Linked DNA regions of Struthio camelus. The protein of the gene in region 1 binds, or shares a complex with, the protein of each later gene. Links are inferred from orthologs where the notes say so. Each region holds a gene or a part of one and is shown on either strand. Other genes may lie near its edges. The genes, in order: LIMS1 and PARVA.

Evidence for each region.
Region 2: LIMS1 (region 1) and PARVA share a complex: the UniProt entries of both Homo sapiens proteins name them as parts of the heterotrimeric IPP (ILK-PINCH-PARVIN) complex. The link is inferred for Struthio camelus from reciprocal best matches to the Homo sapiens genes LIMS1 and PARVA.

What each region holds. Positions count from the first base shown.
Region 1 is NC_090942.1:155,375,340-155,390,770, forward strand, and holds the start of LIMS1 (LIM and senescent cell antigen-like-containing domain protein 1), read left to right. Parts: upstream 1-7,879; 5' UTR 7,880-7,966; coding exon 7,967-8,148; intron 8,149-10,544; coding exon 10,545-10,704; intron 10,705-15,431. UniProt on the Homo sapiens protein: Within the IPP (ILK-PINCH-PARVIN) complex, binds to F-actin, promoting F-actin bundling, a process required to generate force for actin cytoskeleton reorganization and subsequent dynamic cell adhesion events such as cell spreading and migration.
Region 2 is NC_090946.1:25,103,131-25,118,889, reverse strand, and holds the start of PARVA (alpha-parvin), read right to left. Parts: upstream 8,307-15,759; 5' UTR 8,292-8,306; coding exon 8,151-8,291; intron 8,095-8,150; exon of another isoform or gene 7,925-8,094; coding exon 7,842-7,924; intron 7,813-7,841; exon of another isoform or gene 7,772-7,812; intron 7,552-7,771; exon of another isoform or gene 7,547-7,551; coding exon 7,335-7,546; intron 1-7,334. UniProt on the Homo sapiens protein: Plays a role in sarcomere organization and in smooth muscle cell contraction. Required for normal development of the embryonic cardiovascular system, and for normal septation of the heart outflow tract.

The DNA.
Region 1 (15,431 bases):
TCAGATCAGTTGTTCAGTTTTCCTCTCTGTATCTGCCAACTTTGTAGAAATTTCTGACTCTAAGTAGTTCTTGGTAACTTTCTAAAACGATGGTTTCATATGTAACGCTCCATGAGCAGTGTTTTTGGGTGCACTGCTTAGGTTTTCTAGACAATTGTAAGTCTTCCTATGAGCCTTCCTGTGATACATGTCTTAATATGTCAACAAGACAAAGCTTGCTGTTTTTTGACTGAAGCAGAGCCTTTTTTTCCAACAAGGGTGCACCGTTGAGAGATTTGTTGCATGGCTTCTGTGACGTAACACACTACGCAGAAGCTATTTGTTCTGCTTTTTCTCTCTGCCTAATGGCTGTGATAGAGCTAAAAGAAAATGAGCTAAAAATGGATTCGTCTCATAAAAGTCAAATGCAAGTAATCTATTGGCAAACACAGCTAGAAGAGCTGGCAGCGTTTATCAACCGTGCATTTATAAATAGAAGATTGAAAAGATTCAAACTGTTTCGGCAAGGAATGAATGGATGAAGGTGAAGTAGATGTGAAACTTTCTGTCTTTTCCAGCAGGTTAAGCCAATGCATGTCACGCTCTTCACAGACTGTAATATTTTTGATCCCAAGTTCAGTATACCTTTTGAACTCTTGTGTTGCTATGCAGGTATTGAAAAAATGTGATCCACTCACAGTTATGACTCAAAACTGCCCTGCTAGTCTGTTTCTTGTTCCGGTCCAGAAAATTTACATTTTTAGCTGTTTGTCTCCCTTGATGTTAGGCTTTTCATTTGTTGTTTTGTATGATTCTCCTTACTGACTTCAAAGACCAAAGAATACACTATATTTGGGGTACAAAGAAACCTGCTCCTTTTTTTTTTTCTTCTTTTTAAATGGTACATGCTAGCTCTGCAACTTTGGGATAGCTCCATGAGCACCATGTTGTGGATAATGAATTTTGCCTGAAGTGTACAAGCAATTGCTTAGTTTTAAATGCATTCCTTTCTTAAGCTAATGCTCAAATTATACCCACTTACTCAGTGTGACATAAGAAGGGGGAAGGAGGTTTGGCAGGGCTGGAAGCCCTTTGATCCAAGGCAAAAAATCCCATCTTCTCTCCCTTTTCCCTTCACTTTCCTTCCACCAAACAAATAACCCAGGCTCTATTCCCTACTCTGCTCCTTCAGGTAATCCTGCCAAGATTTTATTGCAAGTGGTAAATTTTACATCCTTCCTCCCAAGTCTGCCTGTAGTATCACAAGTATTTTTTTACGTTCATTCACTCCTGCTGTACTCAGCATTGGCCAACTGTTTGCGTGAAAACTGTGACTTTAGAAATTCCTGCAATACTTACCAAGCCTTCAAGACTTGCCAAGCATTTTCCAAACTGCTTTTCAGTAGCCGTTACTGAAATTCATTTGTGCATACCTGAAATGTCTACTACTACTATTGAGTAACTAATGAGTATAAAGTGTAAGGTGATGGTCTTCGGGTTGTGTTAACCTGAAAAAGGTCAAGATCGTTGTAATGGAGTATGCAAGTAATGCTATTTTGTATTAGCTTCATTTCTCGGTATATTACTCATGCTTGACTCTTAGCAACGTAAATCACTTCAGGTTATTTTCTTCCAACTGTTGAATATTAGTATTATTATTTAGTTCCATTATGTTAATTACAGAAAGCTTAACTGTCTTCCATTCTGTGCTATTTTTAAAGCTTGATAATATTACAGTGAATGTTTGAAGAAAAAAGGTGAAACCAGAAACCAAAATGACTTAACGGTTGCAATTTAAGTTGTGTATGAGAGAGAAGAGCACTAAAAAAGAAACGGCTCGAAAGATGTTTGCTTTATACTGCGTTCTGCCTTCCCAAAACCAATTGTTTAATTCAGATGATGAAAAACTTTAGCAGCACTCCACAATCAGAAGCATGAGAACAGAAAAATGAACCTAATGAACGTGAAAAATGTTTAGAGAGATGATGATGTGGAAAGTATAGTATTAATGGTCATATCTGCATGGAACTGACATGCTACTTAGAGAAGAAAGAAACCCTGTCCCGCAGCACCTTAGCGGAAGGTCAGTCCTTAGCCTGGTATCTCCAGTGGAGTCGTTACTATAATGGGAATGTCATTTAGAGCCAGAAAGTCTGGTGTTCACGGTTATCTCAGCCCTATAAGGAACTTCATGGACATACTAGAAGTCTTTCATGGTAGACTGGATGTTATGTTTAGTCAAGGCATTAATTATAGCTCCTGGATGAACTGTTCAGGTCACAGTGTTGAGCTTATAAAAACATCAGTCATAGCTAGTGTAGGCAGATGGTAAAGGCAGAAGTAAAGGTTAACATTTGCCTTTGCACTAAGGATTCAGTAAAGTATTTCTGGTGAATTTTAATGACAGATGATGATATATATTTAATACTGGTGCTATGAAACTGTTATTCTGAAGAGAAATATGGAAGCACAGCGTTTTCCTAGGATTTGAAATGTCAGAAAATACAAAGATCAGCCTCATACTTTCTTTAATGTATTTGAACTTTAAATTTGTTCCTTCAGTGGTGGATGAGGAGTTCACATGTAGTTAGGTGTAATACTGCATTGACTGAGATGTGGTTTCTCCTGAACCTGAGAAAAAACTTCTTCACTTTGAGGGTGACTGAGCATTGGAACAGGTTGCCCAGAGAGGTAGTGGAGTCTCCTTCCCTGGAGATATTCAAAACCCTCTGGATGTGATCCTGGGCAATATGCTCTAGGTGACCCTGCTTGAGCAGGGAGGTTGGACTAGATGATCTCCAGAGGTCCCTTCCAACCTAAACGATTCTGTGATTCTGTGATTCTTTACCCCCTCTAACACAGTTGCTTGAGATTGCCTGATCACGCTCTGTTGTCCTTCACTTGACTTTCCAGTGTTTTACTTCCACCAATAGCAATATTATTCTTCCGAAACACTTTCAGATTTTTGAACTGGTTGGACTTGGTGTTGTGAAGTTCTTTGTGTATATGTCCAAACAGAAAGATGCTTTTGAGTTTGGTGCACCTGATATGGTCTCACCTGTTCTTGAAAGGATTTTTTTTTTTTTAGGGCGAGTTTCTTAGATATATTAAACGTGTAGTCCTTAGTGTATAGTATCTGACCTTCTTACTATTCTTAAACTAGGAGTGGTGATATAAATGCTCCTATATGAAATGCGTTTGTGTATATGCATTTTTAAAGTCTTTAAAGTTTGTTGAGTTGGAATAATTTGGATGCAGCGTATTTGCCATAATGAAGTATACATACAGTCAGCCACACAGGATGCAGTTTTAAGAATAACTGAAAGCATGCTGTGTCTCATGCAACCCAGATTTATTAGCGCACTTGTGCGCTGTTGATATCTGATGCTGTATCTTTTCTCTTTTTCTTTATTTCTATCTGTATAGGATTCAAGAAAAGAATAGTGTGTGGAGTGGGATGGGGGGAAGAGATGGCGATTAAGAAGGATCAAATAGCTGTACACAGAAAAAAGAAAATCATTTCTCATTTTACACACAATATGGCTTTGCTAATGTTTGTAACCAGCAGGAAGAAAATGAAACGCTTTTTTTGAAATATTTCTTACAACAGAAAAAGTACTGTAGTTCAAATGTTATTCTCCCTTTCTACAAATTCTGTTAGAGACTGACTTTCACTGTGCTTCTATGACAGATAGAGTTGTGTGGGAAGGTGCTGCTTACCTGTTTATTCCAGTTATATTCGTTTCCTTATGAAGAGATGGAATGTGAACCTTCTCTGTTTGCGGAGACCAAAGCATTTTTTGGACATGTTTATACTAGAATAAGTTTATACTGAAGTATATGAAACAGCTAGAGTTGTCTTTTGTTAGCCCTGTTTAAACTCCCACTACATGAGCTTAATCATGCTTTTTGTGGCCAAGAGTAAAGGATGAAAGTTTCATGGGCGCTCAGAATTCACATAGTTTTTATCATGTTTTCGAGATGATTTTGCATCCTTTTGAATAGGATGCATCCCTTCTAATAGTTAGAGCAGGACTGTGCACATGTGCCAATCCTAGCATTAATGTGCATTTTTATTCGTGGAAAAGATTTATACCTTGCTTTCAATTACCTTAAGAGATCAATTTAACATAGGAAATACGTTGTTGCTTGCAGGACCAACAGTTGCAGCAATGAAAACCCAAGAGTGTTTTTAATTTTAGTAAAAAGACACAAAAGATCAGTTAGCACTTTAAAAGGTTCATGCAGAAATCATTGCAGGCACTGCAAAGCCATGTATACTTTACGGGCAAACTTTTATTCTAGTTCTTCTCTATTCTGCACGTGAAAGACATTGCACAGCATCGACTGTGAAATCATCCCTTACATATGTGGGATGAGGAGGGATGCCTTGTGATTTTTTTTTTTTTTCATTCCCCTCTGCCTAACGTGATGGTGCATGTGGCCTCCTGAAACCTCTAGTGACGCAGCAAGCTTGTACTCCAGCAGGCAATGTTATTTCGCAGTCATACGAGTAGGTTGCCAAGCAGCAGCTGTGATTGCCAAGCACCTTGTTTGGAGCCGTGGCTGCTCCGCACGTCTATTTGTGGAAGGAGGCGCAATGTGCGGCGGGGCGTGCTGGCCACCCAGCCTTCTCTGTAAGAGTCCCCTTCAGTGCCTCGCGACGACCAAAACGGGATTGAAAAGCTCTCCAGGGAAAGCAGTGCGTGAGCTGGAGGGCGGTTGTACATCAGAGATGATAGAGCTGCGTAGTGGTTTTTTACAGCCCTTCTCCATTGCAGCAGTTGTGTGCTTCCCCTTGGCTCCTCTTCTGTATCTTTTATCGCCTTCCCAGCTCTCTGCCTTGACTCCTGATAACATCCGCAGTGTGCCAGTAGTGTCTCTGCCTTCTTCCTTCCTCCTTACCTTTTTCAGTTATTATTTAACTTCTCCCTTTTCTTTTCTCCTTATCACCGACTATTTCCTTAACAGCTGGCTTGCAGATTTTGTCCCAGATCCCAGGGAATACCCTTGGGAAGCCGCTGCTGCAAATCAGTGAACGCCTGCATACTTCTCGCTCCTTGTGGACTTCACCTCACAGTAATCTAGAATTCCCTAATGAAAATATATTTTTGACAGCCAATTTTAGATCTCAGCAGCAAGTCTCCAGCAAAGTGACAAAAAAGAGAAAGATGACCATTTGCTCTGGATTCTTGGATTACCAAACCTTCACACTGGAAACTGTTTTGCTTTCGTAGCAGAAAAGCCCCTTTTAAACTCCGCGCAAGCTCCTTTCTTGCTTAACCTAATGTGAATTGGGAATAATTCCACGGAGAGCAGCGGCAGTAGGCGTTCAGAACAAGGCCTACTTATTACTTCATACGGTTGCTTCTTAATAAAAGCTAGGAAGATTAAAATAGGCTTTGTGGATGGACTTCTTGCTGCAATGACTGACTCCTTGTACTGCTTGCTTTGCTGCAGCTGCACAGGAGATTGCACAGCAGCCAGCTGAAGAAGCAAGCACCGGGGTGGATTTTTTTCCTATTGACCAGCAGAAGATGCAAGGAAGCAGAAGTGGCTTCTAGCCACCTTTGTAGCCTATAGGTTTCAGGTTACCGCAAGGGCTGCAGTAGTCCACAGAGAGTCAGAAATGCCTAAGGGCTCTGGTTTGTAGCAGCAGCTTCTCAGGAGAATTTCCTGCAATTTGGGACAAAATATACAAGAAAACAACTGAGGAGATGGTCAGTGATAAGGGGAATGGAGACAGACTGGCTTGCTGTTTCTTACCTTAGTGGCTTAGTGCACCTGTGCTAATTCTGGATGAATCGACATTGTTCGTCCATTGCAGCGAGTCTCCCTGGAGTTTTTCATACTCACAAGGGCTCAGTATTTACCTGTGCAGGAAATGTTGGGATCCAGCATGGAGAAAGAGAGTGGAGTCACTTTGTCGACATGTCCACTAGCAAACAGTGCTTGTTTTCATCACGAGTGAGGCAGGAGATGCAGAAACCTTTTCTTCCACCACTGTTTCCTGCAGCTGTGCCCAGGCAATATCACCATGGCCTAGAGCTATAGCCTGAGCTTTGCTTGATCTGAAACTTGCTCCAAGACAGATAAAAATAGGGCTTGGGCTCCAGCCAAGCTGTGTAACGGGTGAGGGTGCCGCCTCCTTAGCCTGTTGCAACGTGTGACTCTCAGTAGCTGTACCATGCCTTGGGTCACCAGACCTACAGAGAGATATAAAAGCGAGGGCACGCTGCCTAAGTCCCAGCTGCCATGATGTGGACAACATGCGGGGGGTGGGGACGGCTTGCCCAGAGGAGACTTCCTGCCGAGGGCAGTTTAAGGAAAGACGCCTGAGCAAAGCCCTCGCAGCCGTTTAGCCCGTTTGTTTGTGCTGTGCAGCAGCAGAGTTGTAGGGCTGTGCTGAGCAGCTTGCAGGAAGCTGCTAGAGCTAGGTGTGAGCTCAGGGCCTGTGCTGAGAGCGGCATGTGCTCCCCCTTAATCTTCTGGGCCAACTGTGCCAGTTAATGAGGTGAGATTTGGTGGAAAATGGTCGCAAAAGAGACCCTCTGCAATAGGCACTAGGATGATCATTTTCCAGATGCTGAAGGCATATTAAAAAATAGTAGCCTTGAGTGGAATTTCTACCATGTCCTCTGTTGAGTCCCATTTCTGATTTCTCTGCTTGTTCCCGCTAGTCTTTTTCTTCCTGTCCTCCTCCGCTTTCTCATGCTCCCTCGCAGACTAGCAAATTCTTCGGATACCAGGAAGCCTTGTGTCATGAACACAAAGCCCATGTGGTTTTGCTATTTAATCGATTGCTGACAAGGTTGAGTGAGTTCAGCGCAAGAGCCCCGTTGCTCAGCGCTGCCTCCCAAAGTCCTTTCGCGTTTGAAGTTTTAAGTTCTCAGGAGCCGGCTATCCCACGCCTGTCACAAGCGTTTCGCTTTAAGCAGGTAGAGCTTAGAAGAGCGAAATGAATGGCCGCAGCTCTGAAGGCTGTCGTGCCTGCCTTAGTAAGCAGCACGCGACAGATGTTTAGGTGGAGCGTAACCCGCAAGTAATTGCAGCGTGAAGATCGTTGTGAGGGCGTTCAGCGGCGCAGGCCGTGGTTAAACTTCCTTTCTTTCTTCTTCCTTTCTGGCCTTGCTCTCTCGCTTCCCTCATGTCCATGAAAAATTACTTCAGCTTTCAGCTCATGTCGGGGGCGAGCGTTCTCGACGTGATGCGCTCACTCAAAATCAAGTTGCAGTTTCCCTGCTTCACGTGTCGCCCCGTTAGAGGTTGGTTACCTGGCTCTTCTGTTAAGGGGCCCTGTTAAGCCAAACGGAAACAAACTATGTATCTGTATGCACGTCCTTCTTTCCCCAGCGCTGACAGGAAGAAAGATGCCTGGAGAGAGATAAACCCCCCACGTTTGACCTAAGACGATATAGGTGGAACAGAAAAGGTTGTTTTTACAATGTAATTGATATACCGGAGTATTAAAACAATGTTGACCTCATGACAGAAGTATTTTCTTCATGCTTTACGTTGCCGGCTTGCCCACAAGAAAACATGGTTGGAGTCCACCTCCATCCCCCCCCCCTCGCCCCCGGCTCAGCAGAAAATACCTGCGGACAAGTTTGCCGGTGACCGCGTTCGCTCCCGTAGGTTACTCGTCACACGGCAACCCTGCGCCGGCATGGGCCGCTCCTGGCAGCAGCGGACAGCGGAGCCGCTTCGCAGCGGCCGAGTTGCTGTCACAGCCCGCAACTGGAGCGCCTTCCCCAGCCTGCCCCCAAATCGCAGCCCGACCGTCCCGCCGCCGCGTCGGCTCGGCTCTTAACTTGAAGCTCTAGGCGAGCGCCGGAGGGGTCTGGCTGACTGACACGAAGCTGCGACAGTAAATCACCGCGCGGCGAACGAGGCGGGGGGGGGGGGGGGGGGGGAGGTCCAGCGCGTCGTTTTGCCGACTTCTGCCTATACCGCGAATATCTCACTCTTGGAAAGCGATTAAAGCGGCATGGATTTCCAAAGCAGAGCTCGGCCTTATGTGATCCCGGAGGATGGAGAGGTCCCGCGCGAGGCGGCTCCCGCTGCCCCCAACGCCACGGGAAACGAAGGCGAGAAAGCAGTGTCAAAATTGCAGCGTAGGCACAGTGACATAAAAGTTTACAAAGAGTTTTGTGACTTTTATGCAAGATTGTAAGTTAATTTTGTTCAGCTTCGGCGTTCGACTTCAGTAAAATTATTTGTGTATTGTACGTGTGTGTGTGTGTGTGGTTTTTGTTTTTTGTTTGTTATTATTACTTGAGCTCTGGGTAGACAGTGTAAGTCACTCTCTAAGGCAACCTTTGCCACTGTTCCCTGTTTGAGACGTTGCCGGTTGTAATCATCAACTAAAATTTGAGCCGTTGCTGTAGACTTAATCATTACTTGCGTCAGAAATTTTTATTAGTAGCTGGTACCGCTTTGGCATTTGTAGAGTAGTCTCTCTGACTTCTGATTTGAGATCGTTTGCTGCTTATTATGGGGAAATGTGTAAACTGGACCACTAATAACAGAAGTGTTGCGTAGATTGGTGTTTTTACACATGTGTTTCGAATTAAAGTGAACCAGTATTTTTGCATTTTTAGAAGGAAAGCTTTGTGCTCTCATGTAATTATTTTCCAAGTGTCTACGTTTCATAGTTTTGCTTGGATCACACGTTGTGTCTGACAGCACTTAACATTAAATAATTTTTTAAGTTGAACATCCTTAGTATTCCAGAGCTGTCGAGGTGATAATGAAAGATCCCAAGTTACGTTGCGATCGCTGTTCGTTCAGATTGAAGGATAAGGATGGGTGAAGTGACTGAGCTTTTGCCCCCCTCGTGAACCGCACACTGTCCTTGGAGGGCATTGGCTAGCTGCAAGGTGAACCACTGCTTAAACACAGAATTGCTGCAGCTTTTCAGCATGTTTGTGGGTTGTCACGTATGGCGTAGAGCGTTCTCCAGTCTGCTCTCCTCTGTGAGATTCGCCCACTCGCTTCACTAAGAGGGTGGTAAATATTTTGGTATCGGTTACTGCTGCCACCTTCTGCAAAGGGCTCTAGAGAGGAAAAAGAAAGCAGTGAATAATAACGGGTCAAATGTGACCTTGCGTGCAGCCCTTCTGTTATACAATGTAAGAAACAGATAAAGCACGTTTGTTTTGAACCATGTGATCGGTGCGCGTTTGCTAACTCTGGTGCTGTATAAGGAATTGATTCAATTGCTTTTGGATCCAGTGCGAGCCAGCAGGTTTTAGCCCCTTGGAGGGAAGGGCTTGACATCCTGCAGAGGACCGAGTCCTCTGCGTTTACGGGTGCACCGTGATTTTTTCCTCTCTGTACCAAAATGTGCCCACAATAGACGTATGCACATGCATACCTTTTGGTAACGAATGTGTGCGTGTGCGTATCTGCGTTTAAAATAACCCTAATTCTTTGATAAGCTTCCAGATAGATGTTTGAATTGTTGGTTTTGTCAGTTGTGGTTGGATTGTATGAACCTAGACCATTGCCCTGTATTTGCTCTCTGCTGTCAAATGTTATTGGCGCAGAGAGGTGATCCTGAAAGGCATAGCTTGGAAAGGCTAGATGGAAGCGAGAAAATACTGGCAGAGTTAAAATCAAATAAACGTTTTCCTGGTACTAGATTCTTAATTAACTGTAACCCAGTTACTCCTGACAAAGTAGCTAATCCCTCCGGTATTTTACAGATACCCCCTTGGCATTTTATAGCCACACGCCTTTGAGAAGCAGCTAGGGTGGCTATTGAGTATTTTTTGCATCTCCAGCGTGGGGTCCCGTGGCAGTTTGCGCTGGCCTAAGTCTGGGTTGCAGTGGCCCAGCCTGCTACTGCAGCCCGAGAGTCCCACCCTCTCTCCCTTGGCCCCGCGCTGAGGCCGGCACAGAGCGAGCTGATGTAGGGAGCTGATCTCGTTAAGATTAACCTTAACAAACAAACCAAGACCCCCGTGACTTTAAACTACGTTTGTAAAATGACTTTAAGCTGTGTGAAACCAATGTAAGGAATAATGGTTTGCTTTCTCTGGTTTTCAGTAATTTCTGCTAGACTAAATACCTTATATGCTTTCACATTGCTATTTTAAAGCTTTTGAACCAATGGTGTTACGTATGTTTTAGGACTGTCTTATCATTCATGTTTTCCAATGTGAACATTATTCTAATGTGTTAATTACTGCTAACGTTGGCCCTTGTTTTCCATGATTCTCATGTATTTAGTTTTTCATTTTTATAGTACTTGGTTGAATCACCTGCTTTTTCCCCTCATTAAACGCCTATGAATGTATCTGTAATGATGTTTCTGTTTGTTTTTTAAATTAGCAGTTGTTAGACTGTGTTGTGGGTTTTTTATTTCTAAAGAGTTATGGGCAGGGGGGAAACGACCGTTTTATTTCTGAGGGAATGCCACAAGCCATTAAGTGCATGAACAAGCTTTCGTTGAGCAGCTTAGCATTAGGCTGAAACAGTTGGCTTTGGAAAAAAGAGATGAACTAAAATCAGTGGGGTTGCGTGTTTTGGCTCATTTTCTTCTTGTTTCTTTTTTATGACAGCAACATGGCAAATGCTCTTGCAAATGCCATCTGTGAGCGCTGCAGAGGCGGCTTTGCACCTGCAGAGAAAATTGTCAACAGCAACGGTGAACTGTACCACGAGCAGTGCTTTGTGTGTGCCCAGTGCTTTCAGCAGTTTCCCGAAGGGCTCTTCTACGAGGTAAGCCAGGCAGAAGGTTGTTCTTGCCCCAATTCTCTGGCTTGTTTTTTCATTCTTGTACAAGAAGTAAATACAGACGGATCAATAGTTTGGAAAGTGCTGTGGCAGAAATTGTGCTCTGAAAGAATGTGCCCAGTAGACGGTGAAAAAAGTAGAAATACTTTTGTGCAAACTTGGAGGTTGTCACTGTGTATATCTTACTTCAGTGTGCAGCGTAATGTTGTCAGAGTTGCGAAAAAGCTGCTGGAGATTTCTCTCTCAGTCCTGAATTTTTTCCTTGGAATCTGTAAAGAAAATCTATATATTTTATGAGACGTAGGTAGAGAACGTTCTTTTTATAGCAGAACTGAGACAGAGTGAAATCCCAACCTCCCGTAGTCCGTAGGAGGCTTATTGCTCAGCTCTGTGGGGCCAGCGCTGCAGTTGAAATGTTGGTCCGTAAGTCAGCATGCTGAGGGAAAGGTGTGCAGTCACCCAAACCCAAATGAGGCATAAGTCAGGTCAATTCTAGACAGAGCAGAGCAAACTGGGACGTTCTGAATTAGCAGTTCTCAAATGCTTTCAAAAGCAAAAACCACTCCCACTCGCTTTCTCTGCCCCAGATGGATTGCCCTCAGCTCAGAGGTGAATTTTAATATTAATGTAGTTTTCTTTTCCCTTCGCCTGTGATGAGTATTTAGCTATTTCAAGTACAAAGCGGCTTTAGTAAAAGCTTGAGACTAGCTCATAAAGTATGAAGCAATTGCTATAAGGGAGGGTAGAGCTGGTGAGATAGAGAATTGTTAGCTGAAGTTTTCAGATGGGGAGCAAAGGCTCAGAAAGATTAAAGTATAATATAATAAGTATCAAATTTCTTTAGGCATTTCTGAAAACCCTGTTCTAATCCACTGTCTGTGATCACACCGGAAGCCTGGAGCAGCTCTAAGAGTAGTTCCAATCCAATAATTTTGCAAAAAGGTGTTCTTAGCTTACTTTGACGTGTAATGCAGAGTCGGGATAGACTCTTATGCCAGATTCTTAGTTCATGCCTAGTTTATATGTAATCCATTTATTCAGTGCTTCAAATGTACGTAGCACTTCACAAAGCAGGTAGAAATAAGGTCCTGCTCAGATAGTTTGTAGTACAACATACAATAGCGGTTGCAGGATTTATGTCATATTATGATCTGCAAAGGAAGGTTGGCCGTTTGTTAAAAGCATAAAACTGTGCTCTCACATACAAGGTGTTATTGCTGTGTCAAGAGCACAGCAGATTATTTTCACAGTAATATTTTAAATCAATTGTACAGAGCCATGCCATGTGGTGATGAGGAGGCAGCCGAGGGAGGAGTGGCTGGTTGGGAAAGAGACTGGCACGGGGGATTCCAGGGGTTTGCTTCCTCTCACCTTGTTTGAAGATCAAAAGATTTGTCAGTGCTTTAGGGGTAGTGTTGCACAATTTGTGGTAAATGAGCCACTAGTGGTCCCTAAGACATCAAAAGGTGAGCTGCAAAGCAGTAGCAATTAAAAAACAAAACACAACACCTCCAAGATGCTTGCACATTATCTTGCAATTGTTAATATGAGTTGCTGCCTACACGCAGGCATGATAAAGAGTCAGTCCTGACATGTTAAGACCTGAGGCAGGTATAGAGGGACACACATGCTTTAAAACTAAAACATTTTTGTGCTAGTAACGTTTCTTTAAAACAACAGAATGTTTCTCTAAATGATGAGTAATTTATTTTTCCTTTTCCTGAGTGTGAAAAAACAATGGCACAATCAGGCCATCCATGGACCTCTTTCAGAAAGTTGGATGGTCCTTGGAGATGGAAGTTTGAGAAATACTGTTCTAGAAAGCCTGTACCTCCTAGAGGATGGAGAAGGGCTATAGTGGAAAGAAAGTGTGTTTGCACCTAGTCCAGGAATATTCAGCCTGTCCGTTGCTCATGTGTGGCCCTAGGTGAATCTCCCTCAGCAGGGGCAAACATCCCGGTGGTGTTTGGGTGCACTGCACAGAGGCGTTTTGCTTCCTACTGCTACAGTGCTAACATCCTTATTCGTTGTGGTTGGGTTTTAAGCATTCTTTTACTGCAAAGTGATGCTTCCTGTTAAAGACAATAAGTCAGAAGTGAGTGCTGATAGATTGTCCTGGGAATAAAAACAGCCCCAGGTACTTAAACACGTTTTGGTAAAGTTCTGCATTTTTTTCAGACTGTGCAGAGGCTTGCAATGGCTTTGTTCTTCAGAAATGTTACACGATAACTGGAAAATTTAAGTTAGGAATAGACGCTTTTTGCCACAGCTATTACAGAAATAAAATAATTATGATTAGGATTAAGGAAACATCCAAAGAGTTATATGTGAACTGCGGGCAATCCTTCTGCCTCTAGCCCTTACTTATAATGTCCACCATGAGAATTTGCAGTTCCTCTCCACACCAGCAAGTCTGTCTGTTGCTGGAGAGAGACTTTTCAAAAGCATGTCGAAACGTCTGACAGCCTTCAGATTAAGGTGAATAAATCTTACTTAGACTTCCTCTCCTGTCTGTACTTGCCAGTTCTGGGCATCTTCTAGACAGAGGAGAGGTGAGTATCTGTGTTGTCCCAGCCCTCATGCCTTTTTGGCTGTTTCAGCTTGGAAATCTTTGGCGGGTTCTTCTACTCTGTCTGCAGCCAGGCCCTTTAGGGTGAGCTAGTCCAAGTGCATCCACGTGTGTCCTGTGCCGCCAGAACAGCGCTCACTTGGCAGTGAAGCGGTCAGTGAAATGATGGTGGTGGAGACTCCTGGAACGCTTCCTGGTTGTGCTGCTCAGGAAGAAGCAGGGGCAAGGGCACAGCCTGCTCTTCCTTCATGTGAGTGGGTGGTTTAGCACTGACTTGGCACCTCAGCACGAGGGTTGGGAACGTCCTGAGTAAAAGTATTTGGGGGAGAGGGAGGAACAACTCTAAGCAGGCAGAGGATGAGCTCAGGTTGGCTGATGCTCAGGAGATGGCTGACAGTGCTTGGAGGACTGAAGGTGATCTGTATCACTGTGAGGAAGACAGGCAAAAAGGGTATCTTCCTTAAACTGGTTTAATATACCCCTTAAGAAGATGCATTTGGAGGTGTGGCCAGTTAATGTGTTTTTCTGAGCAGGTTCCCCTTGGGTAAATGGAAGCGTTGCTGATAGCCCTGCATTAATTTGTTTATTCTGTGTCTGGTTGAGCTAAGCCAGTATTCCCTGGAAAGGATCTTCAGCTATTAGCAGCTGGGAAGTCAGGTATTCTTCCCCCACCTATCTCAAGCGTTGCAGCCTTCCCCAGTTAGTCATTAAGCTGCTTATCACGTTCACACTCAAATGCTGCAGTGGTAAGCTTTCGGGCTCTGCTCCCCTGGCAAGGGGGTGTACTGGTAGGGTTATCCATGTCGCTGGATGTGTCACCGGGTTGTGTGTGGGCCCAGATCAGCGTAGCTTGCTGCGGTCCGGTGTCAGAGCTGAGCCCTTCGCAGGTACCAGGGCAGCCCTCCTCTGTGGCTGGGAGATAGCACTGACCTCAATAGCAACGATTCTGGAAAGGGAAGGACTTTCAGTGTATTTTTTTGAAGTTTTTTCCTTTTGAAGGTGGCTACAACTCCTGGAAAACTTGCATCATATCCAGGCTCCCTAGGATTTTTGCTGATGTCCTCCTCAGCATAAATTAGAAATGATAGTGTAGCTAGTTTTCCAGCCAGTGTTGGCCTTGTGGTTTAAGGGAGTGAGTGAGAGCTTTGCACCTCACGTTGCACAGGAGCCGCAGGGGTGGGACCTGCTAGGTTGCACCTGTATTCTGTTCTGTTCAGTATCATCAGCTTAGCATGTCTTCTTCTGCACTTAACCTAAACAGCAATTAGCTCAAACTCATACCAGCAAAGTGTAACAATGTGCAGTCCTGTACTAATAACGCCAGAACAGCCTGCTTCCGTGGGGAGCTTCGGGGCCACCATGTCCAGGGGGCCAATGAAATATAACCCTGAATGCTGATGTAAATTAGCTTGATGGAAGTCAGTACAGTTAAGAAAATAGCAGTGCACAATTAGCGATGCCTCTTGCATCAAGTCATCACTCTCACGTTTGTCTTGCTATTGCGTACAGCCGGAAACATAAGAGAGAATTGTTTAGGAAGAGACCTCTGGGGGATCCTGCAGTACTGAAATCTCTTTCAGCCCGAGCTGAACCCTGAGCTGTCAGGTAGAGGGGGAGTCTAAGACTGGCCCAAGGTGTAATTAGTCAGTGGGCAATTCCTCCGACCCATCGCACCGTAGGTTCGGAAACAGCTATTCTCTTCCACGGGGGCACCCAGGAGACTGGCCTAGCTTTACGCATCCAATTTTTAGCCAGCAGAAGTTAGGAGAGATGACTCCTACCCCTTAAGAGGGGCTTTTTCTGCAGGGGCCCAGCCTGCTCTGCACTGTGCTGCTGTGGTGGGTGAGATGAAAGGACTTAGAGAGGTGCTTCCCACAGTGGAAGAAACACAAGAAAATCCTTATAAAATACTTTATGAGCTCTATAATGGGAAACTTGTATTTGTGAGCGTTTAGGGAAGTTGCAGCTTTTTTTTTTTTTCTGAGTGACTTGCTGCTTTTGTTTGTAGGTGAGGGGAGAGTGTTCCTTTCAGATTTTTTTTTTTTCCTTAAAAGACCTCTGTAATAACCCATACAAAGCGTAAAGGAAGAGGCTGCAATGAATTTGTCAGTTTTGCTTCTACTCCAGTTGCACCTGCAGTGCT
Region 2 (15,759 bases), on another chromosome or scaffold:
AAAAATTCACATTTTTTTTAATTAGTAATTTTGGGATTGTCTGTGACTTCTGAGATTCAGAAATGCATTAACAGGCAGCACTTGCAAGTCTTTCCTGAACCAACCAGAGCCAAAACCTGTTAAGGAAAAAAAAGAAGAGAGAGAGAGACTCTTGAAACCAGGCACAAAGAGAAAATGCAAAGAAAAGATGCAACAAAACTCACAATGAGATCACAAAAACGAGTACTGGCAAAACTGAAAGGAACTGAAATGACAAACATCGTTAAAATGCAGATTATAGTAAGAAAAAAAAAAGTCCAGGAAAATATTTAAGAAATACGGATAAAGAACTCCAGGTTGTAAGTTATTTGAGGACAGGGCTCTTCCCACTGAGTGTGAATGTATATTGCCTAACATAATAGGACCTAGTCCTTGATTTAGCCACATATAAACATAATAACGCTTAACAGTGTCTTGCAGATAACAAACAACAGTGCTGAGTGGATGCTGCTTATTGCAGAGAGCAGTACTTGTGGAAAGAGGGAGCAGGAAGGCAAGATAGAGGCACCACAAGATCCAACATCTATCAAATGCAAAAGCTGTTACTGTCACCCACACAAACCTAATGCTGCAAGGCCCAACAGGTGACGAACAGCTTCAAGCATGTCTGAGTTGTTATTTAGGTATACCTCGGAGAGCGTGCATCTAGAGGGCTATTGCCATCACTGCATAAGCAATGGTTGGGTTTTCTGTCTACACTGCCAGAAGCATTTCAGAGGCAATTATCCATCTTTCTACTGAGCAATCCTTTCAATGGTCAGAACAGAAAGACCTCCCCAGATACCCCCCAACAATCTGGGTTCAAAGGAGGGAAACAAAACCGCAGTGCTCTTCTCTTTAGTACTTTCTTTTCCTTCCATACACTGTAGATGCGCTCAGAAAGGCTTGTAATAATTAAATGACAACAAACGACGCAGATGATTCTTCCCTCTACTATTTTTTTCACTTTCCATGTTCCTTCCACCTAACAGAAGTATTTTATCTACTTTACACAACTTGCTCCAAGGCAATAATTATTCCAAGGTGGTACTAATAGCTTTTGTCCACCATCAGTTAAACAGGCAGCTATGATGCCTGTGGCAGCACACCAAGAACATGGGAATATGTAACACAGTTTACAGGGGAAAGAAGAGTATAAGCACATTTCAGCTGCTACACATTAAGCCTGGAGATAAAGCACATTATGTCAGTCATCAAAAACAACCATTCAGCTATTCTAATAGCACAAGAAGGCCTAGGGTTGATGCACTGATATGCTGCAGTAAAAATGAAAATTCAGAACTACTGATTTATATAAGAGTGATGGCAAAACCTACCTCAACCCATTTCTTCTTCATAGAAAATGCTACATGCATCTTTGAAGCATTGCTATGAAATCTGCACACGCGGGCCCATTGATTTTCTTCATACTATATGTTATTACCAACATATTTGCTAATATGCATAGGTAAGACACAGCAGTTCTTCTTTCAACTTCATTTGCATTTTAAATACAGCATCAGGTAGCAATAGTAAAGAAAAAACCTGCAAAGCATTTAAGTTAGTCTAGGATCTCTCACATGAGAAACAAACAGATGATGAGCAAAAGATAAGTCCTACTGTTACAAAAAACAGCCCTTTGTATCTATAGTGCACTACTCTGCTTAAAGAGAAGTTGCAGAAACAGGTCCAAAGAAAATAATTCAAAAATCTCAAAATTCAGCAGAATGCTCCTTGTATACTAACAAATACATTTCTTTCACAGTACAATGCACATACATAAGCCAGATCAAGGTATGACTTCTCTTTCAGAGAGTCTCACAACAAGGCATTTTAGTCACTGATTCCTTAAAGACAAAAATTTTTATTTAAAATAGCTGAAGAGCTCTCATCACCCTACGCTTATTTTTAATTTGTAGTTGTTCCGATTTTTATATTATTGTTAGAAATGTGCTATGGTAGCAAATGGAGACTAAGAAATTGAAGGGAAATATCAAGAAATAGCAAATCTAAAATATTTTATGCTGTTAACATCGTAATTTTCCCTCAGGCACACACAGAAACACAGCCTACTGTGACCTCACATACTGAAATGAAATAAAACCAAAACATATGAAGGATAAAGAAGAAATATCATATAAGCGGAAGCTAGAAGAAAATTCATTCCTTCTCTTGCCCATCAACACCAAATAAGCTAGGAAGAAGAGCAGTCAAATTACTGAAATTGATGTCATATCAATCGGAAAACTGACCAAGCCCATACAATGGGCAGTAATTGCTCTCTACCCAATTCACAGGTCCAAGCTGTCTGTTTTCCATCTGCTCCTACGCAATTTAAGCAATTCTGAACTTCGCTCTCTGTTTCTGAATGTGTCACAGATTTATTAGAGCGTCAGGTTCCAATTCTTAAGATTCTCTACTAAGGTAAGCTATTATGAGGAGCTAAATTTGTATGTCTATAATTGCCAGGCCAGGAAAATTCAAGGAGGGCAATCACATATGACCTTAATGAACCCACCATGAAAAATTCATAAGATAATATAATATACAACCCCACCCCCAAAAAAGAGGTCATTCTGTTCTCTCCTTGCACTTGTATAAAGATATGCTTAGTACACAATACAAAGTACTATGAGGAGCTTATACTTTTTTTTTTTTTTTTTTAACTTGTGGTTGGCTTTGGCTAGTAAAATTAGCTTCACTATGGCTCTTACCTCCTGATAGACGAAGACTGGAATCCTTCAAAGGCATATATGGGGTGGCTTAATTTTTGAACACTTCTCAAGAATGAAAGGGACAGAATCTTACTATAAGCTAATTCTTGCTTATAGTTGCTTCACTTGTAAACAGGTCATCAAATATTCTAGTATTATCTCAGTATTTTTTGTTGCATTAAAAAGGTAATTATAGTAAATTTAAACATAGTTAATCATTTGTAGTTTTTGTTCCTTTAACAAAATGTATACACTATTTAAAGTTGCAGTTGTTCATGCCCTCTCAGGAAAGACTAAAGTATGATGCTCTTACCCTTGAATTACACCAATGAAGATGAGATACTGTAAATAAAATCCAGGCCACAGCCCTGTGTGACAGAAGATGACCCAAGCAGCTTTGCCTTCCTCACTCCCAGATTTTATATTTCATAAATATTCTCTAATAGTTAATGACAACTTATTTTGCAAATTAACATACATCCTAAGGCATGACTAATCCCTACTTACATCATGAGCGGTATCTCAACTAACAGAATCTCAAGTTATTCTCTTTGTTCTGTCCTGGTATAGAGTACAATAATTATCATATAATATATAATAGATATACAATAGATGATCAGCCTTTTCTCTGCTGTGGTAGGGTGTGTATTCTCTGCTCTGCCAACAACTCGTACTGCGTTATTAGAGAATTCACTTCACTTCTACATTGCTCGATATTCTCATCTATAACACGGGTGGAATAATCACCACTGCCAGGAACTGTGAAATTCGTAAGGAAGGACTTGCTATATGAAAATGAAAGGTATTACCAAAAATCCGTTTTATATTGCACTGTAAGCCACTTTTGCTACATGTAAAACTACACAGATTTTATAAATAGCTTGCATGACTGTACTATTATCACTTCAGATCCTAATGGCTTTGTATTTGGTAGAGCATTCTGGCACTGGCTCTATTATTGTGATGTATAAAAATATTGTTTTGACAGTTAACAATGTCTGTTGATGGCAAAAATACAAAACCTAATACATACAATTATATACTTCTACAACAGTTATCTAGATACATAAATAAATAGTATTAAAATGTAATTAGTATGTTCCCTACAACAGATAAAACATTTTTGCATTATTTAGAAACATTAACTTTTACACCATATGATAAAAGGCCAAAGAAAACCAGTAAGTTTCTGTCCTCTATGTAATAGCAGAGCTTATATCAACTAGAAGAAAGGAAATTTTCAGTTACCCCTTATTTCTCTCAAGAGCACAAGCCTCAATGACTTTCTTGAGCAACAGCTAATCTCTAAGACCCAGGTGTGCTTCTGAGCTTTTGTTTCCAGGTATGTAACCTGAACGTGGTCTGGCTTAATGCAGGACTGAAACAGAGTGGCTGCAACAGCCCCTTTGTTGTCCCTGAAGGCATGCAGGTTGGAAAAAAGCCATAGCACGCACCAGCCAGGCCCATAAACCCGTTGATCAGGAGATCAGGATGACAGAGGCATCCTCTGCATCGTCTACATTCATCTAGAAGAGGAATACTTGTTCCGTTGCCTATACATTAAAGATAATAATAAACTGCAATAAGCAGAATTTTTGACTCATGAAGAAATACTGACGCAGCTGAAATCTATTATGCAGATTTACTCTACTATAGCATACTAAAATCACAAAGCAAGACTAACAGAACAAGACTTGTTCTATTGCCTATGCATTAATAACAGCAATAAACTGGAATAAGCAGAGTTGTTGACTGATGAAGAAATACTGACATAGCTGAAACACAGTAGGTGAATTTACTCTACTAGCATACTAAAATCACAAAGCACAAGGCTAGGTAGATAAGAAGGAGAAATAAATAACCTACATAGCAAAAATACCATTATTTCTAAAAAGTTATTAACAATTTATAGTATTTAGGGACCTTAAATAACTAGAGATCAATGTTCACATTCAAAATGAGGTAGATATCCATAGCAGACTAACTAGGTTAGCGAACAGGTCGAGATGCTATGGAAAAAAAATGTGAAGAGAAAAGGTGCCATCCAAGAGTACCTCATTCTAAGTTACAAAAGCTGAAGGTCTAAATATGGCCAACAGAAAAAAAACATTTTTTCAAATCCCTATGAATAATCCCTTGAACTTTTTCTAATATTTTATATGTGTTAACAGTTGAACGATCATGTACACTCCTATAACTGAGACATTTCTCTGTTATAACCTTGACGTTAGAAAGGTCTTTAAAGCAGGAAAATCAAAGAACAGAGGCTAGACCCACAAGCAATCTGATCTCCTATATGAAGGCTGTAGTTTAATTTCAAATATGCCTGAGTCCTACAAACTCTGACAGTACAACATAAGATGGAAGCCATATGCATCACAGCCTGCAAGAAATAACGTGGCTCATGAATAGTGTGCAGACCCGTATTTATTTGTAGGAGAGATTAGGAGGCATGAAGAAGAAAGGGTTCACTGTAAAAACGTATTGGCTTTAAAAGTCATTACCATTTGAATCTGCTATTTAAAAATAAAATAAAATAAAATCATTCTCACTAGTATAAAGCCATACCAGTACATGTCAGTCTCACGTGCTTCCAATGAAAAAAAAAAAAAAAAGATAAGTAAATAAAAGATACATTCTTGAATGTATCATTAGAGTCTTCCAAGATCTTTCCAAGAAAGATGCTATGGAGAAATTAATGAAACATTTTGTCTCCATCATGAAATACTACAATATTCTCACAAAGTTTTAAAAAAAAAAAATCCAAACCACTGTGATTTTTTAAAAAGCTTTAGGAAATTGGGAAACACAAAGCACATCATCAATGTTGTTCCAAAATGTTAAAAGGGTAAATATTAACTTGATGAGACAATGAAATAGCAGGTGTAGATTTTAATAAATTTAATAGAGACACAGAAATAAAGACAAAAACTATGATTTCATGGAACACATTTTTTTAAATAAGATTACAAGATTGTGAATAAAAGTAACCGTGCTGTCTCTGACAGATACCTGTAGATTTATGACATAACACTGTGGCACTGATAAAAGTAGTATTGTCTGATAGCAACACTGGACATGCTAAATCTACTACAAATAGGTTAAGTTAAAAGTCTCAAAACATAACTACAATACAGACACATCACAGAAGATTGTTTCTAGTGCATTGCTACTAGAGTTCATCGATACTCTTACAGAAATGGCATAAGGAAGTGGATCCCTAGTAAAGTTTGCCACTATTCACTGTTTCATAAACTTCTGGGCCAACTGCAATGAACAGAAGCTTGAATAACATCAGCACAATTGCGTAACGTATTTTAATAGAAAAGCAAGACTATGCATCTCAGAAATACAGGTGATGGCTACAGCGAGGGGCTCACTCTTCAAAGTAAAGTGTTATCGTCCTTGTCCATGGCATTAGCACTATTCTGAAATACTTTGCCAAATTTCACTCTCCACATATATATCAGAAATCAGGGTCTGTTGAGCATAACTCTTTTTTTCTTGCTTAAGAATGACAAACATTAATTGAAAAACTGTTCTGAAGCGGACGCTATTCTAGCTCCGCTTGCATCATCAGTTGCAAAATGACGGGTGAGTGAGGTTAAATTCCAATTCTCTGTCTCATGGGATTTTAAATAGGCAGATTCAGTAGGGCCTGGATATTAATTCACATGTACGGACAAAGAAAGAGACCTTTGTACACGCTCAATCTTCTTCAAAGGATTACTATCACGAGGCAAAGGTTTTCAGCTCAGTCTAGGAACAACTGGGTTAAAATTTAAACCTTTAAGGAGTGAACATAATCACATCATTCTCTCAGAGCAATGCGTTGAGAGCATGCTGTACACCACTATAAGTCGATACACTGCAAACCAAAGCAGACATAAGCATCTTTAGCCTCACTTTTTTTTTCCTTCTTTTTAGCACTACAGCTTAAAAAAGTAGGTAATCTCAAGCAGGCACCGTGGGGTGCACACGCCGACGCAGCCCAGGGGACCTCTCCTCGCCCGGATGCAGCGAGGCGCAGGGCACCTCCGCCGGGGGTATCACACCGGCTTTTGAGGCGCTGCCTCTCTGTGGCGGCACCCGCCTTGCGCTCCCAGCACACATCCCGGCACCCAGACCCCTGCCCGGCTCACGCCCCGTCCTAGGGCGCACCCCCGGGCCCGGCGCCGCCCGCCCTGCCCGCAGGGCACCGCTCAGGCCGCCGCGCCGCACCCCGCGGCCCGCGCGCGGCGGTTGGCGGTGGCGGCGGTTGGCGGTGGCGGCGGTTGGCGGGCGGGGCGGCGGGGGGAGGGGCGGCGCGCGGCCGGGCCCGCTCGGGCCCCGCGTTTCCCCGCCGTGAGGCGCGGGCAGGGCGGCGGCGGCGGCGGCGGCCCGGGCCCCGCAGGGCGGCCGGGGAGAAGCCGGGGGCAAGGCGGCGCGCTCCTCCCTCGCTGCTCGCCTGCCCACCCGACACGTCCGTCCCAAGTCAGCCCCTTCCTCCCGCTCCCCAGAGCCTTTTCCTCTCCCCCCCCAGTCTCCTCCTCCTCCTCCTCCCACCCCCCATTTTAAGGTAACTCCCAGGAAGCGTGCAAACCTGTAAATTTTTTTTTTTACCTTCTTTGGCTTTTTTCCTCCTTGCCAGCGTGCCGCCAAGTTTGCCCAGGAAGGAGTCATCTTTCTTTCTAGACGGGGGCGATTTAGGGGTGGGGGATTTAGGAGACGACGGGGACTTCTGAGGGGAGGTTGCCATGGCGGTCCCAGCACCGCCGCCGCTCAGGGATGAAGGGAGACAGGTTTGGAGCCCAGGCGGAGCGAGAGGCTGGCCCCTGCTCTAAACGGAAGCGGAATTATTTCAGGCATTTGAGGCAGCTCCTGCTCCGCTCTCCCGCTCTCCCTCTCCTTCCCTCCCTCCCTCCCGCCCGCCCGCCCGCCCGCCCGCCGGGGAGGGCCGCGCTGCCCTCGCCCGGCCCGCGCCCGTTCCCTCCGTGCCCCCCCACAGCCCAACGCCCCCCCCAGTCCCCCGACAGCCCTGTGGTCCCCCTTCCCCCCACCTCAGCCCAACGGTCTCCCAGGCCAGCGGCTCCCGCCCCCCCCCCCCCAGGCCCCGCAGCCCGCCCTCACCCCAGCCTGCTCCGCTCGGGGCTTTCAGCCCGGGCGGCGGTTCCTCGTTGCGGCTGACGGGGGGTCCCGGCTGCCTCAAGGCGCTGGAAGAAGGGTTTTTCTGTCAGGGGGAAGCGACACCCTCCTCACCCGCCCTCCTGCCGCACGCTGAAACATCGCCTCGTTCAGGCGAGGTGGTCACCCCCGCCCCCGCCGCGGCCTTGGCTGGCCCCCACCAGCTCGGCGGCCCGCGGTTTGTCCTCCGACTAATCGAGCAGTGAAGTGCCACTGAAGAGCTTTGGGCAGGTCCCCGCGCGGGTTGCCACGTACACTCCAGCCTTGAGCCAATTTTGGGAAGCGGGCTGTCTTTCTGCCCCTGTACCTCTGTCGTTGGAGGTGGGCATCGCGTTCCCCCTTTCTGCCAAAAAAGACCTTTATTAAAAAGAATGTGAAAGAAAGGTTAGTGAGCATGATAAATTATTGCCTGTGCCAATCCTCTGTTGATTTGCAGGTGAGCTGCTTAAGAGAAAAGTATGTTTAAAACAGGTAATTGGCTGTGACTGGTTCAGGAGACATCTAGGGCTGGAACAGCATTAATGTCATCTGGATGTACTACTTCACTCCCCTCTTAATCACTCGATTAACAATTTAGGCAAAAAGCCACACACACTTTATGCAAATATCTAGCTATCCATTAGACATAATAAGAGAAATGAAATTACCATGAGGATATTTCTAAATCAGCTAATAATTGTTGTTTTTACAAGCCAGTAACAATGGTTATCTGATGAGGGATAGACACCAATGAGTATTTGTTGTATGCAGTTAGTATATGCCCTAGAGAATAATTTCATTCACCCCTACCACCATTACTTAAAACCAGGAATCAACACAAGCCGTTAAGAGACTCTCACGTTTCCTTAGGTTTGCTCTCTCTGGCTTCTAGCACTGATTGCGCGTTTGGATTTTGTCTGCAGAATCTCCCCACCTTCACACATTACTCTGTTTTGTTAAGAATTGCTGTTCATGCGCTGTATAGATTAGGATACAAACAATTCTGAACAATTTTTTTAAAAACAATGAAATATAATTTTAAAAGAAAGCAAAATAATCATGTAGAGTCCTTTCTATATACACACATGTGAATCTGCAGCATTTATAAACAGCAATGACACAACTTTGGACCCAAATACTACACACAGACGTCCATGTAGGATTTTGTGGGCACAGCAGAGTAGGATTTTGTGGGCACACAAATCTGCTTGCCTTTGTGCCACTAAGTTTGGTATTAAAGGCAAAAAGAACAAATCAGATATTTCAGACAGTAATGTGCGCTGGGTTATACAGCATGGGAAAATCAGAACTCAGCATGCATTTGCCAAGTCACACACCAAATAACTTACAAGTCCTAGTATCTCTACTCAGTTTTGTTCCATACTTTTTTATACCTAGCATATGTAAATTAGATATCAAATGTAATATTCCTTATTTAATAGCCTCATGAGCTATAGGTAAGGATTTAACATCACAAGCAGAAAATATATTTTAAAGGAAACTCAATGTGCATTTAAAATAACTTAATCTGATTTGGGAACAGAAATACTGTAATGCCTTGAGTAATAATGCTAAGGGGTCACTGCAACAGACTTAAGTTTGTTGTGTTCTTTAGGGGCTTCTTTCTGAATTTATTTGCAGTTCTCTTAGGTATAACATTATTGCAGGGTTTTTCCAACTTATGATGATGCTCTCTGAAGATAGTTACAACACTCCTTCTCCCCGCCTTGTATCTTAAATTTCCAACTACATATGCTACTTTTTTCTTTTGATCTGGAAATATATATGCACATATGAGCTTAAATTAATATTGCATTCAGCACAAAACGCCATATAAGTACACACAAGGTCTAAATTATGGCAGATGTACAAATGTTGCTTTTGAATGCCTAGTTCCTATTTCTATAATATTTTAACCACAAATAAAAGCTGTAGTAATATAGATTCGGTGGAGATTTTTGTTTGTCTAGGTTTTTGCTCTGTTTTACATTTAATAAGTGAATACTTTCATGATCATGCTCCATGATCCCATGCACCAGACACAATAGTCAGTAGGTTGCCATTCAGGCTCACCTCACTGCATCCAGCATATAGAAATCTGGAGCAGGCGATCAAGAGCTCTCACCGTGCTTCCTGTCAGCGCCTTGTTCCTACAGATGATCCAACCAGTAGTTCAAATTAATTGTATCCTGATCACATACATACTTTTGCCAGGCAATAAAAGGAGGCTAAATCCACAGACTTCAAATGCATTCTTACTCACCTTCATATCTGTCCATGCACACCTGTTTTCTATTTCTTTTACTACAGAACTCAGAGTGATCACAGATAGAATATTACTTCCTGCATGAGGTGGAAGAGACAGAATACATAATATACCAGCCATGGTCTAGGCTAATAAAAATGAGCACTGCAGCAGCTGAAAGTATACTCATAATCTGAGATAGCTGACTCAGGGGAGAGAGGTCAGCCCTGATGTCATATCTGGTTTTCAAAGTATTTCTTCTGTTATTACACAAGTTTAAGCCAAGCTAGTTAAGGCCATGCAATAAATTATCGATTCTTCTTGATCTGGAGTTCGACATTTTTCTCTTAAGTACACTTCTGCTCTAGCCTTTTGACTCTGTGGTCTTTTAAACAATAACAGTGGAATTTTCAAAAATACTCTATTGCTCTACTGCTATTGCAGTATTTGCCTACAGTAAGACTCTTCACTGACTTCATAAAGAACAGAATTAGACCAAAGTCTACTCTTTATATTTTTCTAAATGTTTGCAGTCAACCATCTTCTCATGTGCCAATTCTATGTAGTGAACTGCTGAACATTCACATCCCTACTCCCCAGGCTGTGTGTTAACAGCACAGTAAAGGATGGTTCTTAGAGAAGACGACATTGACATTTCCTCACAGGCTACTTTGTGGCTGTTTAGTGTCTATTTTTTGATTGGGATTCAAAGAGAGGCTGTTAAAATTTAGGACACTGGTAAATAAGAGCTTTGGTAAGCTTCTCCTTTCTTCCACATATCTCAGCCAGAAGCTCAACAATAACAAGCAATTGAGGCAAGTATGAAGGCTCCTTCCTTTGGCTCCTCCCAAAAACTCTCTTTTACAGTGCTGGCAACTCACATTCTCCCAGTGCAATGCCATAAACTTTCCTCTGCTTTCTTGTGCCTGTCAGATACAGGAGCACCAGCCACCCCTGTCCTCCCAGGGAGCAGTTGTCTGTGTTTCACAGGGTGGCTGAGCAATATTACCTCTCACCTGCATCCCACTGAAAGACAACACCACGGCGTCTCTGGGATGGCTTTTCCTGAGAGCACCCAAAAATCTCTGGAGGGAACAGCTCTCACAGGACCTGGCTGTATCCATGAACCAGACATGCTAGGTGCCTGTTCCCCTCCAGGGAACTAACGCCTTGCAGCCTGTCCTGGTGGCACCCCTGGAAGTTGAGAGGCAAGAACTTCAGGCTTGTACTTCAAGAAAGTGGTTTTGTATTTCACCATGAAGCCCCCTTCCCTTCCCCCCCCCCCCACTCCTCTTCACATGGCTGCGTGCGGTGGCCACCTCTGGTACTGTGCTGGGAGAGGCGGTGCTGGGAGTGGACCACAGCACAACATATTGCCTGGCTGGTAGTCTGCGCAGCCACATCTCCTGTCCCATACCAACTCAAGGCAGGTTATGTAGCCCATAGGACCTTGTTGCATATGATTTCAGCCCCTAAAAGGCCAGCCCAGGGTTGACTAATCATCCCAGTGGGGGCTACGTTATAACGGCAGAAAGCACTGCTATCAGGTAGCAGGACTCCAAATTTTCACAGCCACCACCATCTCAAACTCACACTTGAAGATAAGTTTGTTTCCAGCTCACAAAGTGAGTCTTAGATTGAACCTATGCTTATGCTTAAATTTAAAATTGAGCTATGCTTTCTAATTAACCTGTATCTTCTTTGGGTTAAGAATCTTCTATTAAAAAAAATAAATAGGATAATGAATAATAAATATATTATTCATTAATATAGAGTTTCATAGAAGTATTGGAATATCTCCAACTAGATCCTTCAAACGTACAATATATTTCTATATTGCACATTAAGGACCCCAAAAGGTCAAACATAGACTTAGTAAAGAACACTGTAGGTGCAAGACAAAAGACAGCATAGTGTATACACAGATCACACATAGAGATCAATTATTTGGAAAGTTTCAATGGAAGGAAATTGGTTTTGAAATTTTTCAATGAGATAAGAACATTATCCTGGCACTTAATGCTTCTGGTAATATGTAATTCTGCCAATCAGTTGTTTATACGTACTAGGCCAGGTTTACATGAATTTACCTCTGGACTTGTTGAGACAGTTTCAGAAAAATTAGGCTCATGATTTTTTATTAATAAGCTTTTGTATTCACAAGAAATGCCCTTCTCTTGTCTGTAGCTTTGTACATCTGTACTATGTGACTATACCAGCAAACACCTAGCTGGCACATGAAATCTCTTGCCATAGTTCATTAGAATCAGCAGAAGAAACCATGCGGAAAAAAGACAAGTTGTTCATAAATACTAGACAAACAGATTTAGGTGAAATCCAGTGAATACATTACTCATCACAAGGTATTTGTCAGGTTCCAGGTTTTGGAGATACCATGACTGCCATGAAGACTGTAGGGATAGTATTCACATACTAACATGGTAAACCCATCATGCCATACTATGCAAATAACTGTGTGGTCCCTCCAAAATTCAGCAGACAGCTTTAGATCTTAACAGTAGCAAGGTCTTAAAAGACAGACAGAATCTCCAATCTGCTAAGCCACATCCTGTTACATACTTAAGCAGGAAAAAAACCAGAGTATATCTTTTTGGAAGGAAACTGCTAAACTAAAATCAAATTCAGTTGAAATCAGATATGCTCCCTGCATTAGGTTTGAAAATAGTGGTTGCAAGACATAAGTCTGTTACGTTTGTTGCCTGTGCCCAGAGAAATCTAGCCAAATACCCTTAAAATCAATGAGGCATTCTCTTACCTTGGGGACAAATCAACTGATCTCAAGGCATGTGATGGCTTACAAAGTCTTTTTCTTCAACATCTTGCCCAACTGCCTTTCTCTAGAGCCATAATCTTTTGGAGGGGGTCAGAGAGAGTGAATAATAGGGGAGCCTCAGTAAATTCCAATAGGCAGATTTCTACCCCTATTGTGCTCCTGGGCCGGCCAAGCTCCCCGGCTGCCAACCAGCTGGCTGAGCAGTCAGCAGGGCTGCAAAGTTTTATACGCGTACGCGTTTAAAAGTTTGACTTATTACTTCCAATTGCCATGCAGGTGGGTGATTCCTCTGCAGTCTTGAGGATTTATGAGTAGATTATCAGCAGAACCACTACCATGCCCACCTGGTAAGAAGGACAAGGACATGACAGTAGAAGACAAAGCTCAGCTCAGATGTGACAGAAATTACCTGGACCTTTGAAGAGCAGCTGCCATCCACCTGTCATCTGAAGAGGAGGGAAGCATCGATCAATTTGGAATTGCTGCTAAGGGGACAATGGCGCAGGGGCTAACGTAAGCCCAAATCTTGCTTATCTCTTCTGAGGCAGTAACGTTGTCTTCCTCTGCGAGTCTGTCCCACTGGTAGAAAACAACAGATTAAGAGATAGCCTAATAGAAGTAAAGTTGGTGGAATATGAAAATCAGCAATTAAGGTTTTGCTCACCAATTCTTGATCTGCGCAGTGGCCTTTTTCCTTCAGCTCAAGGAGTTGTCAGTTTGTATGTAATGTCTAAGGAAATTAGGTGATGAATTACCATGTCAGAAATTAAAGGAAGTTGTTGATCTCATGGGGTTTGCATTTTCTTGTTAAAGGTCAAGTTGAACACTGTCTAGCAGCAGAGTGCCATTATTTCTAAGATATGAAGTGCCAGGTAAGATAGTGCAATTTACTTACCAGTATATGATTAGGAAAATGATATAATTTCTTACCTATAGGTCTTTCCTAGACATGCATTATTCCTCTGTAGATACTGGAGGTAAGAAATTATTACAGAAATGACTCAGGGACTTTAGAGAGTGAGATACAATTTTATTTCTTCAAATATAAAACTGCTCACATCTAGTCAGGTTAGATACAGCCAATATGTTGTAGCACATCATATTATACTTGTGATAACAGTGCCAAGGATTTAAAAATAGTGACAAAGATTTAAAAATCAACAAATTCCTTATAAGTAAGTGAGTCAATTTACAGAAAAGATTGAACAGCAAGAACACTCATAACCAAACATATTTGTTTAAATGCATTTCTAACGTAAGCCAGCCATATTAAATTGAGCTGTGAACAGTGTACATAGCTTCTCTTTCTTTTTCCCCTCCTCGCCTACTCTCATAATGTACAAAGATCTACTTTAAATTACCTAGAGCTTATTCTTCTCCTAAGTCACCTGCACTCTTCATTTTTGGACTGAATCTTGTGAGCACATTAGTGTCAGGCGGGGCAACAGTAGCTACGCAGGACTTTCCACCCAAGAGCCTACAGACACACACAGGAGACCTGCAGTTTTGGGTACGGCGTGTATTACTACCACATATCATACAAGAAAGTAACTTTTAAAACAGAGACTCTTCTGGGGGTCCATAAGATGGTGATGGCCTTCAACTGCTGTTGCCTTTAATACTCTCAGGGACCGAAATCCTTGGAGCTAAAATGAAAGAGTCTGTTCACACCTGTCTGTCGCCTGGTTTTACAGCAGAGCAGGCATCTGCAGGAAACTGAAATGTCAGGCTTATGCACCCTCAGTCGTGCCATGTGCCCACACAACGCATGTGATGTGCCATGTCCTCGCGTCGCCCTTCCTCCTCTTCGGAGGCCAGCAACATCGACTAAAACAAAGGGATTTTTTTAATTGAAAAACTGACTGAAAAAAACAACCTTTGCTGATATAGCTGGAGGTGGCTGTGCTGACTTCCCCTGCTGTCCAAAGCACTACGAAAAAGAGTTTGACTCACAAATTTAAAAAATGATCTTGAAAGCATTATGGCTCTCCATTTTCTACAGCAGAATGACAGATATGCTAGTCAGTATTATTTTACTGGATTACATGAGGCTTCTGGGTACAGCGATAAAATCCAGAGAATTTCTTCACAACACTAGAAATGCCAGCAGATTTCAAAAGAGAGAAAATGAAAATGTGTATTGCTGTCCTGTCTGTTCCTACTTTGTGTCAATCTTAAGTAACAGAGCTAATTTAAAAATCAGTCACTGCAATCCATCTCTGTAAAAACGTAATCTAACAATCACGTATGATCTGCATAGGAATGACAGAAAAACATGGCAGAGGATAATTCTGGAACCCATTCTGGGATTCTGCTGTATCTTTCCACTGTGAAAAAAAGACAAATCACATTGTTAAAGCCCTACATGCTATGCCATAAGGGTATTCCTTCAGGTTTATAGTAACTGAGAATGTTGTTTAAACCTCAATTTATATTTTTGTTCCCAATTACTTACCAGATTGATAAAACTATCTACTCTACAAGGCACAGCTTCACCTATACATACCTGCTAGAAATACATTTTTGTTTATCAAAACCAGAAACAACACCCAAAGTATAAAATATAACCAGACACTTATTCCCTTTAGACAGTCTAATAAATAGATATAAAAACATAAATATTGCAGAACAACAGTATCTTCCTTTCACCAAGAGGTATATATATTTTTTTTTATCTGTGGACAATAGTAAAATTTTGTTTTTATCTTTAAAAATATATTTTAAATTTATTACAATACATCAGAAACTTAAGATAATTCATAAACTACTGTGATAGGATCCAGTGTGTATGCCACCCTACAAGTAGTCACCAAGAGGTTTAAGCTTAAAGCTTTTGTAAGAAGAAT